Schizosaccharomyces pombe: one gene and its partner. The protein of the gene in region 1 interacts with the protein of each later gene in a pairwise test. Each region holds a gene or a part of one and is shown on either strand. Other genes may lie near its edges.

Region 1 (3,299 bases):
TAGACTTTAAAAAAGTTTACAGAATTGGCCTCTATATGTACTATGACTTACGGTTTATTCTAGCAACACATTGTAACCCTACGGGAATGGAACTTCCGTAAAACACGGTACATTCTAACCCTTCTTCTTTGGATAAGAAGATGTAAAGTTATTAGAAGGTTGCAATAATATAAAATAAAGTTTCAAAGAGTTTTATGTAGCTTAACTCATCTCATATGATTATATTTGACAATATTATAGTTTTTCTTGTAAGGTCCATAAGATAGAACATTCATTTCATCCTTATAACAAATCAAAAATAAGTCCCAAGTTACGACACATCCCAAGGTTAGTTATTTACCCAAAGGAGAATTGTATGATAGTTGCTTTAAAGGCGTACATTTAAATAATATTCATAAGAAGCGTGACAATCCGAATTTTTTTCCCGTAACACTTCGGATTCTTATATATAAAGGAGAGGATCCAGAAAATCTTGGAACATAAAATAAGGAATAACATTTTAAAATCAATTTGACAAAAAGAAAAAGTAAAAAGGGTTCAATTCAACGCTCTTTTATACCTCTAATTTAACAAACGTCTCAGGAACAAGCCCGCTTCTTCCTGAGGCATCATCGTATGCAATCAACCAACCATCGCTGGATTCCGACAAAATACAAAGTCTCTGACCAGTAGTAAAACCGAGTTCATTATCATGGAGGGGCTCGAAATCATAAAGCGCAACGGCGTCAGCAAGGACGTTGAAAGAAGCAGAAGGGTGAGTGCTTTCAGATTCTTCAGCATCGTAAAATACTTCCGTATCATCTATTGATTCGGAGTCATCCGATCCTTCGATTGTTTCATCAAAGGTATCATCTACAAATCGCTCCTCCTCCTCTTCAATCACACGAGCATGAAACCCATAGTGCAGTTCATGATCTGGGGGGTACAAGTAATCACGACCCACAACTAAATAATCCTCTTCAGTCTCTTCCGCCATGAAGCAAAAATTGCTAGTGTCACATATAACGATTTAAATTAATCAAAAGAAATCATACGGATCAACGACAGCGTTAAATTTACACTATACTTAGCAAGTCCATAAAAAAACAGGTGTATTGGCGAAAAGTCAACAGATGAACAAATGCTCTCTTCAACGTTGAGTTTTTGTCTTCAAATGACTTTTGAAAAGGAAAAAAAGAAAACAAAACAAATAAAAACAAAAATAAAAGAACCAAAAAGAATGATAAAAAAAATCAAAGCGGAAAATAAAAAAAACGCGGTATTGACGGATAATGACAATTCTGCCTAAGAAATTTAGTTTTTCTCTAATCGGCTGCCTGCATATGATTATATGAATGTAGTTTTAACAGATTTGTACTTGTTAAAATGAAATTTCCATAAGGAAGAGTTTTCGCGTGACTGGGAAACGGATGGCTTGATATCACAAATTCCGGCTTAGCAGTCAATACCGCAAGAAGGCAAGTTAAATCCGTAAATAAACAATTTTGACAAAGAGCTGCCAGTTAATTGTAAAACATACGATGTAAAAACCTTTATTGTTGTATAAAAATAGTTCTTACCTTTGCGACCTGCTTTTCTTTATAACAGGAGCATAAGGTGCGCAATAAAAAACCCATTAATTTATAATCCCATTAAACTTTTAATAACTATTCACATAATGGTAAACTTTTTGCACTGAGATCCACCATATAGTAATTCATCGCCAATAGACCTGAGCAAAAAATATTGCACAAGAACAAAACATGATGTCAAATAACACTAAAGCATTCCCTAGGTAAAAGTATCGAAACAGATAATCGTAATGAAATGCCCTTAGTTACTTTAGTAAAACTGTCAAGAGATCATAAAACTGAACCAAACCAGAGGGCATAACTTTACGTGCCATCCTTTACCAATTCGTAAATCAAAAATTGATTATGTAGGTGCTTGCTAAATAGTTTGTACAGTCATTTGAGAGAGGAAAAAATTATAAGGAATAGAAGAATCCACACAACGTTCCATTTGGAACTCTCATCATTATCATTCAAGCCGCATAGAAAAATAGTCAAATCAATTGTGAAACATTGACAAAAGATCAGATTTGCTAGAACATATGTTTTTAAGAATAACCACGTAGAGCTATCGAAGATAATATAGAGGCCAAAGGATTCTCAAGCGTAGAGGGATCCAATTTGTAATTCTTTTTTAACACCTTGAAGTCTATTAATTTTTGTAACTCTTCGTCAGAAAATTCGACCCTATTACCTTCCACAAGTTTGTCCAAGCGCTCAAATTCTTCTTCTTCTGTAAGTTTGCTATCAATTTTTACCACTACAATGTTTTTAGATTTTTTTGTCATGCTGAATTGTCGGAACGCACTAGAAATTTCGGTTTTTGGGGACAATGACAAAATAACCTCTGAGTGAATCGTCTTAGTTTTCATTTGTTCGTCCCTTCTATCTTCGAGAGCCCTAATAATAGCGCTATAAACCTGCTTTTTATATAGAATAGTAGCGGCATCGAGAAACGCATAGTCATAAATGGGATTCTGGCTTATTAGTTGTTCATGAATCGCAGCACAGTTAGAAACATTTTCATATACAAAAACATGAACTTGTGTCTCTGGAAAAAGAGGTAAAATCATTTTGCCCGCCTGTTCTATAGCAATATCAAACTGCAATCCTTGTTAGCGTTTTTACATTTCTTAGGTAATAATCGTACTAATAACTTTTTGCCGGTAAACATCGGTAAAATACGGTGACTAAAACTCCGAACACTCCAGCTACTGACTTAGCGCCCAACTAAATTGTATAGTGAATTTGCTTTTTTTTTACTCAATTCATTATGGAGGGTATGCTATAAATAATTTTTTTTTTGAAAATATTAAGTTAACCGATATGTCAGAGACGGCGATTCGATCGCGCTTAACTGTGGAAGAACGGCCTTTGAAACGGTTGATTAGTCGGTGTCTTGGTTTTGCTGCTCAAAATGTAGACGAAGCAAACTTAAGGGATTTAGAAATTGAATTTTCTGCTCTCTCTGCTTTTTGGCTTCGATTGCAAATGCAATTAGACATGAATGCTAAAGAAGTGGATGTTTACGAAGGAGAACTGAAGAAGACTCGTATGTGATTAAATTCGTAACTTTAAGTACAGTGATGTTTTTATTAATATTTTCAGAAACATTTTGTGAAGCAGAAAAAACCGAAATAAGCCAGCTTGAGCAAGATTTACTAGTTGCCCAAGAAGAATTAAGAAAGCGTGAACAATACGACGAGTTGGCCAAGCCAATAATGTCAAAAGGATTGAGATCAAGAACAG
Region 2 (4,424 bases), 1.1 Mb from region 1:
GAATTGACTTGCAAGCACAAGAAAACTACAGTGCTGCGTTCGGTAATGATGGCAGCTTTGCTTCGCATTTAACTAATACGTTTGACAACGCTCTAAATCTTCCTACAGACATTCCAACCACTGAAAGCATAAATGACTTGTTTGGTGAGAACTTTGACTTCACCATGACAAAATGAGTTGAGTTGACTTCAGTTCAGCTATGTATGATCGGTTTAACGTGGTTGTTTCAATTTGTCAATGTTTTTTTCATGTATTATTATCTATTACTATAGTCATTCATTTCCAGATCATTCAACAAAAAACCTATAAACGGTAATTATAAAAAACAATTGCATGTCTTTATCCGGTGAGTATCATTTGATTGTATTGCTCTGCACCTTTATGTATGAAAACTAGAGTTGAGACAGTAAGTAGAAAAGCGTTGTCTTTTTCCTATGTTTAGGCCAATGCTAAAATCTCGAATACTTGGTACAATTAGTGTATGTATATATATTTTTACGTGCAAATGGTATTTTAGCAGGAACGGGACAAAATAAAGACAACCCGTAACTTCAGAATAATAATTATAATTCGACTTTTAAATCGAAAATTAAAGACGATAAAAGGGTAAAATAAATTTTTTTTGGTGAACGTATAGCCTTTGTTATAAACACCAATGCATGCACGCAAGTACATTCATAATATTTGCGAAGCAATTGTAAATAAAAATACCGAAAACACTCACGAAGAACCTTAAAAAGAGTGAAATGTTTGTACCTTTAAATGGGTATGAAGAGGGCTAATGATGAATATACGATTGATTCGAACAGTGGCACGCAGATTGGAGGAAAAGGTAGCAAATCATGAAAAAAGAAAAAAGAAACTAGATTTGGACAGATTTAGGATCGATATTTAGACACATTACTTTTAGACAAAAAAGAAGAACAAGAGAAACATGCACAAAGTGGTTTATAAAAAGAAGAGTAATTAATTAGAAAAAATAAGTCGACCCAAAGGAAAACCATGTCCAAATGAGAATACAAGGTCCATAAATAAAGGAAAAGAATCGATGCAATTACAGTGCTTGGTAAACAAAAAAATAGGATTAAGTCATTCCGGCTTCCAAACAAGTACTGTGGATGAGGTAAAGACATCGAAAAACCGTTACGAAACAACAGAAAGCACATCATTGAATCCATCAAATACCTAATAATAGTCATTACTGTATGAATCATTATCAGCGGTAAGTCCTGAATCATCGAGATCACCGGGATTGCGAGTCAAGTTAACTACAATACAAGTGATATTGTCTGTACTAAGACGTTTTAATGCAAATTCTACCAGGCGAACAGCGGCTTCGCGAGGGCTTACGAAATTGCGAACAAAGTCGACAGCTTCCTGATCCGATACTACATCCCACAAGCCATCACAAGCGATAATGAAGAACTCATCATGACCGTTCCAGATTCGGGTTTCAGTGGTGAAGGGATGCGCACTGACCAATTCCTTAAGATAGGTATCACCTAAGGCCCTTGTGACAGCAAGAACGCCATTAATTCGGTTTTGTACCATGAGACCACCCAACTGGGTCACACGACGAGACTCATTGGCATCGGATCCCTTGTGATCGTAAGAAAGTCGAATAGCCTTACCATCACGGCATAATACGATACGTGCATCACCTGCATTAGCTGTGTAGAGAACACGGCGGGTGCGGTTTTTCTCATATCTAAAGAAAGCAACTGCAGCGGTACAACCGCAAATGTCATTGTGAGTAGCCTTTGCAATTTTGCTGTTGACCTCGACAAATGTTTCGTCCATTAGGTCTGTGACCAGCCGGTCCGGCTCATTCCTAACCTTTTCCAAAAGTACCTTGTGAAGATTCTTCTGACAGTAGTCAGATGCTTGAATGCCAGCATGTCCGTCATAAACGGCAACGAAGCCGTCGTCCTGATTACCCCCAAAATCATACAAGCAAATATGAGTATCCTCCATAGACCTACGCCATCTTTGGTTTTTATCCTCCATCAGTCCAGCAAGCCAGTTAGAGGCTTTACTAGGGCGCGAGTTACCAACTGGGACTGTGTTGCCTTTACTATCCTTCATCTCAATTGCAATCGGTCGAGTTTCTCCATCCGCCGAATGATCACTAGCGTTTTTTCGATGTCCACTTGTAGAATTTTCAGAAAATGGGTTCAACTTGTGAAGTGGTTCCAACAGGGAACCTGCATTTGGATGGCTTCCCTTCATATTCGTTCAAACACTTCAGTACCGACAAAAAAATTGCTTTTCAAATTAACTAAATACCTTCAATTATAATATCAGGTATAAAATTGCTGATTGTATAGTATATACGAGAAACACCGATTTTCCTTGGGTTTCTGCGTAAGTATAAACTTGTTAAGTCAGTCAGTGCTAATAAACTCGGGCATTTACGTCACGCGTGGTATACCGAGATCTTCGGAAATCATTTTTACGTACTAGGTTAACTTCCACTAAACCGTTATCCGCTCTGCATTGAACTACATTATAATACAAAAATGCTAACAAAAGGCTATTAGAAAATTAGAAATAGTAAGCAGCAATAAGCTGTTGTTTTGAATATATGAACTAAACGTTTGATTTATTCTAGACAAAAATATTGAACCATGTATTGAAATCCTTCGACTTTTACACTTGCTTTCGCGTGACTTTGGTTCGCATTACTGAAAAAAATTTGTCATGTGTTCGTCTAGTGAATTTGCTAAATATCAATTATCCGGTCTACCCATAATAATCAATTAGAAACGTTTCGCAACATAAACATGCTAACAAGAATAACAGTGTTCATATAAATAATTAAAAGTAACTTTTTCCGTATGTAAAATAAGGATGTGGCTTTGTCCATATCGGCTTTCATAATACAATTAATGAAATTATAATTTGTTTGTATAAGCAAAACAGACAGAACTATCACGAAGTATCCAAAATTTCCATAAACCGAGCCTCAAAGATGAAGTCGAAGAACATTTGAGAAGATTAAAAGAAATAGTGTCCAACTTCTATTTTGCGACAAGATTTATAGAATGCTTGTCGCATGCTCTTGGCTATGCCGCCAACAATAAGCAACGACTTGAAATATTTTAATAATCAAGGGGGAGGTAATAACGGCTCATGGTATGAAAGAAAATAAAATAAATTGCTTTAGAAATAAAAAGAACGAAGGACGGATTTGAGGGGACATGCCTTGGGAGTTCTTACGCAGTAAGGACTTTAACAGCAACAATCATTTTTTTGCGGTTAAGAAAACGAATTAAGGATGTCATTATCAAAATAAAAATCATAAAAAAGCAAGAAGACTCGAATAATGAAAGATGTCAATTTTGATCACACATGACTTCTTGATAAAACAAAAAATTAAAGAACAAGGGTAATGTGTGAAGCAAAGGTACGCCTTTATCGCTCTTTCAACAAGTGTTTTCAACGGATAAATGCCTGTCAGCAGGGACCATGGGCGGACTACTTGGCATCACCAAATCTGTCATCAGAGGAATATCGCGTCTTTCTTCATTATCGAGTTGAGAATTCAACCCCAATTCTAAAGAAAAATCATATCTTTCTGGTAATTGAGGTGAATTCTCAATGTTATTGGATTTTGCAACCGAAGACAATGCCTTTGATAAATCAAACTTTGGCTTATGCCTTGGTGTCAATACGTTTTGGTCAGGGTCAGACAAAAATAACTCTGACCTCCAGGGTGATGGACTTTGTTGTTGCTTTTGTAAGGTAGTTGGTTTTGGAGGGGTTCTGAAATAGCACTCTAAATCATCATTTTCTTTTTCTGAATCGCAAACAGGCAGAGTTGGCTCTGTCTCTTCTTTATTTACTTTAGGCATAGGCTTTGTTGTGGTTTTCAAAGGAAAAGCGACGTTTTCCTTGTCAGTACACATGAAATCAGTTTTTCTTAAAACATCATTTTGTATATTGGCACTTAGTGAATTTGGTAATACCAGCCAACTATCATTAGACCCAATTTCGGATAAAGGCTCACGAAATGATGTATCAGGAGTAGGTGCAACAATGGGAGATGATTGTATGCGTCTGAGGTCATTTTTCAGCTTAGCAGTACGGGGACCTCCTCTGGATTTCTGCTGATTAACAACAGAGGGTTTTGAGATATGATTGGGATCAGGTGCAGAGTGTGTTGAGTCTAAAGACGTAAGTCTATTCAGAGGAGAGTGCCGTCCTGCATTTTCAAGCTCACGGAAGATGGATATAGATAGTTTTCGTTGCTGGGAAAGTTTATATACGGCTAACTCAAGCTGAGCAAATGCATCATTTTCCAACGGTTTCTCTGTTTCAAATGCTTTATAGGTAGACCATAAATTTCTTGGACGCATCGAGCGCCGACTCGTCCAATATATACCACATGCATTACAAAGCATCAAAGTTATGTTCATGTACGT

Evidence for each region. Proteins that work in one complex are often made in the same cells at the same time.
Region 2: the proteins of skb5 (region 1) and ptc1 interact in a two-hybrid assay, tested with the Schizosaccharomyces pombe proteins (3 studies listed by BioGRID).

The regions. Positions count from the first base shown.
Region 1 is NC_003421.2:920,746-924,044, reverse strand, and holds skb5 (Shk1 kinase-binding protein 5), read right to left. Parts: upstream 1,412-3,299; 5' UTR 977-1,411; coding exon 554-976; downstream 1-553. Other genes in the region: EKC/KEOPS complex subunit Cgi121, read right to left, coding at 2,099-2,623; THO complex subunit Tho7, read left to right, coding at 2,824-2,830, 2,884-3,102, 3,159-3,299.
Region 2 is NC_003421.2:2,002,484-2,006,907, reverse strand, and holds ptc1 (serine/threonine protein phosphatase PP2C catalytic subunit Ptc1), read right to left. Parts: upstream 2,373-4,424; 5' UTR 2,230-2,372; coding exon 1,186-2,229; 3' UTR 516-1,185; downstream 1-515. Other genes in the region: SPOM_SPCC4F11.03C (uncharacterized protein), read left to right, coding at 1-176; GATA-type transcription factor Ams2, read right to left, coding at 3,426-4,424. UniProt on the Schizosaccharomyces pombe protein: Serine and threonine phosphatase. Has a specialized role in the heat shock response. May be responsible for the dephosphorylation of hsp90.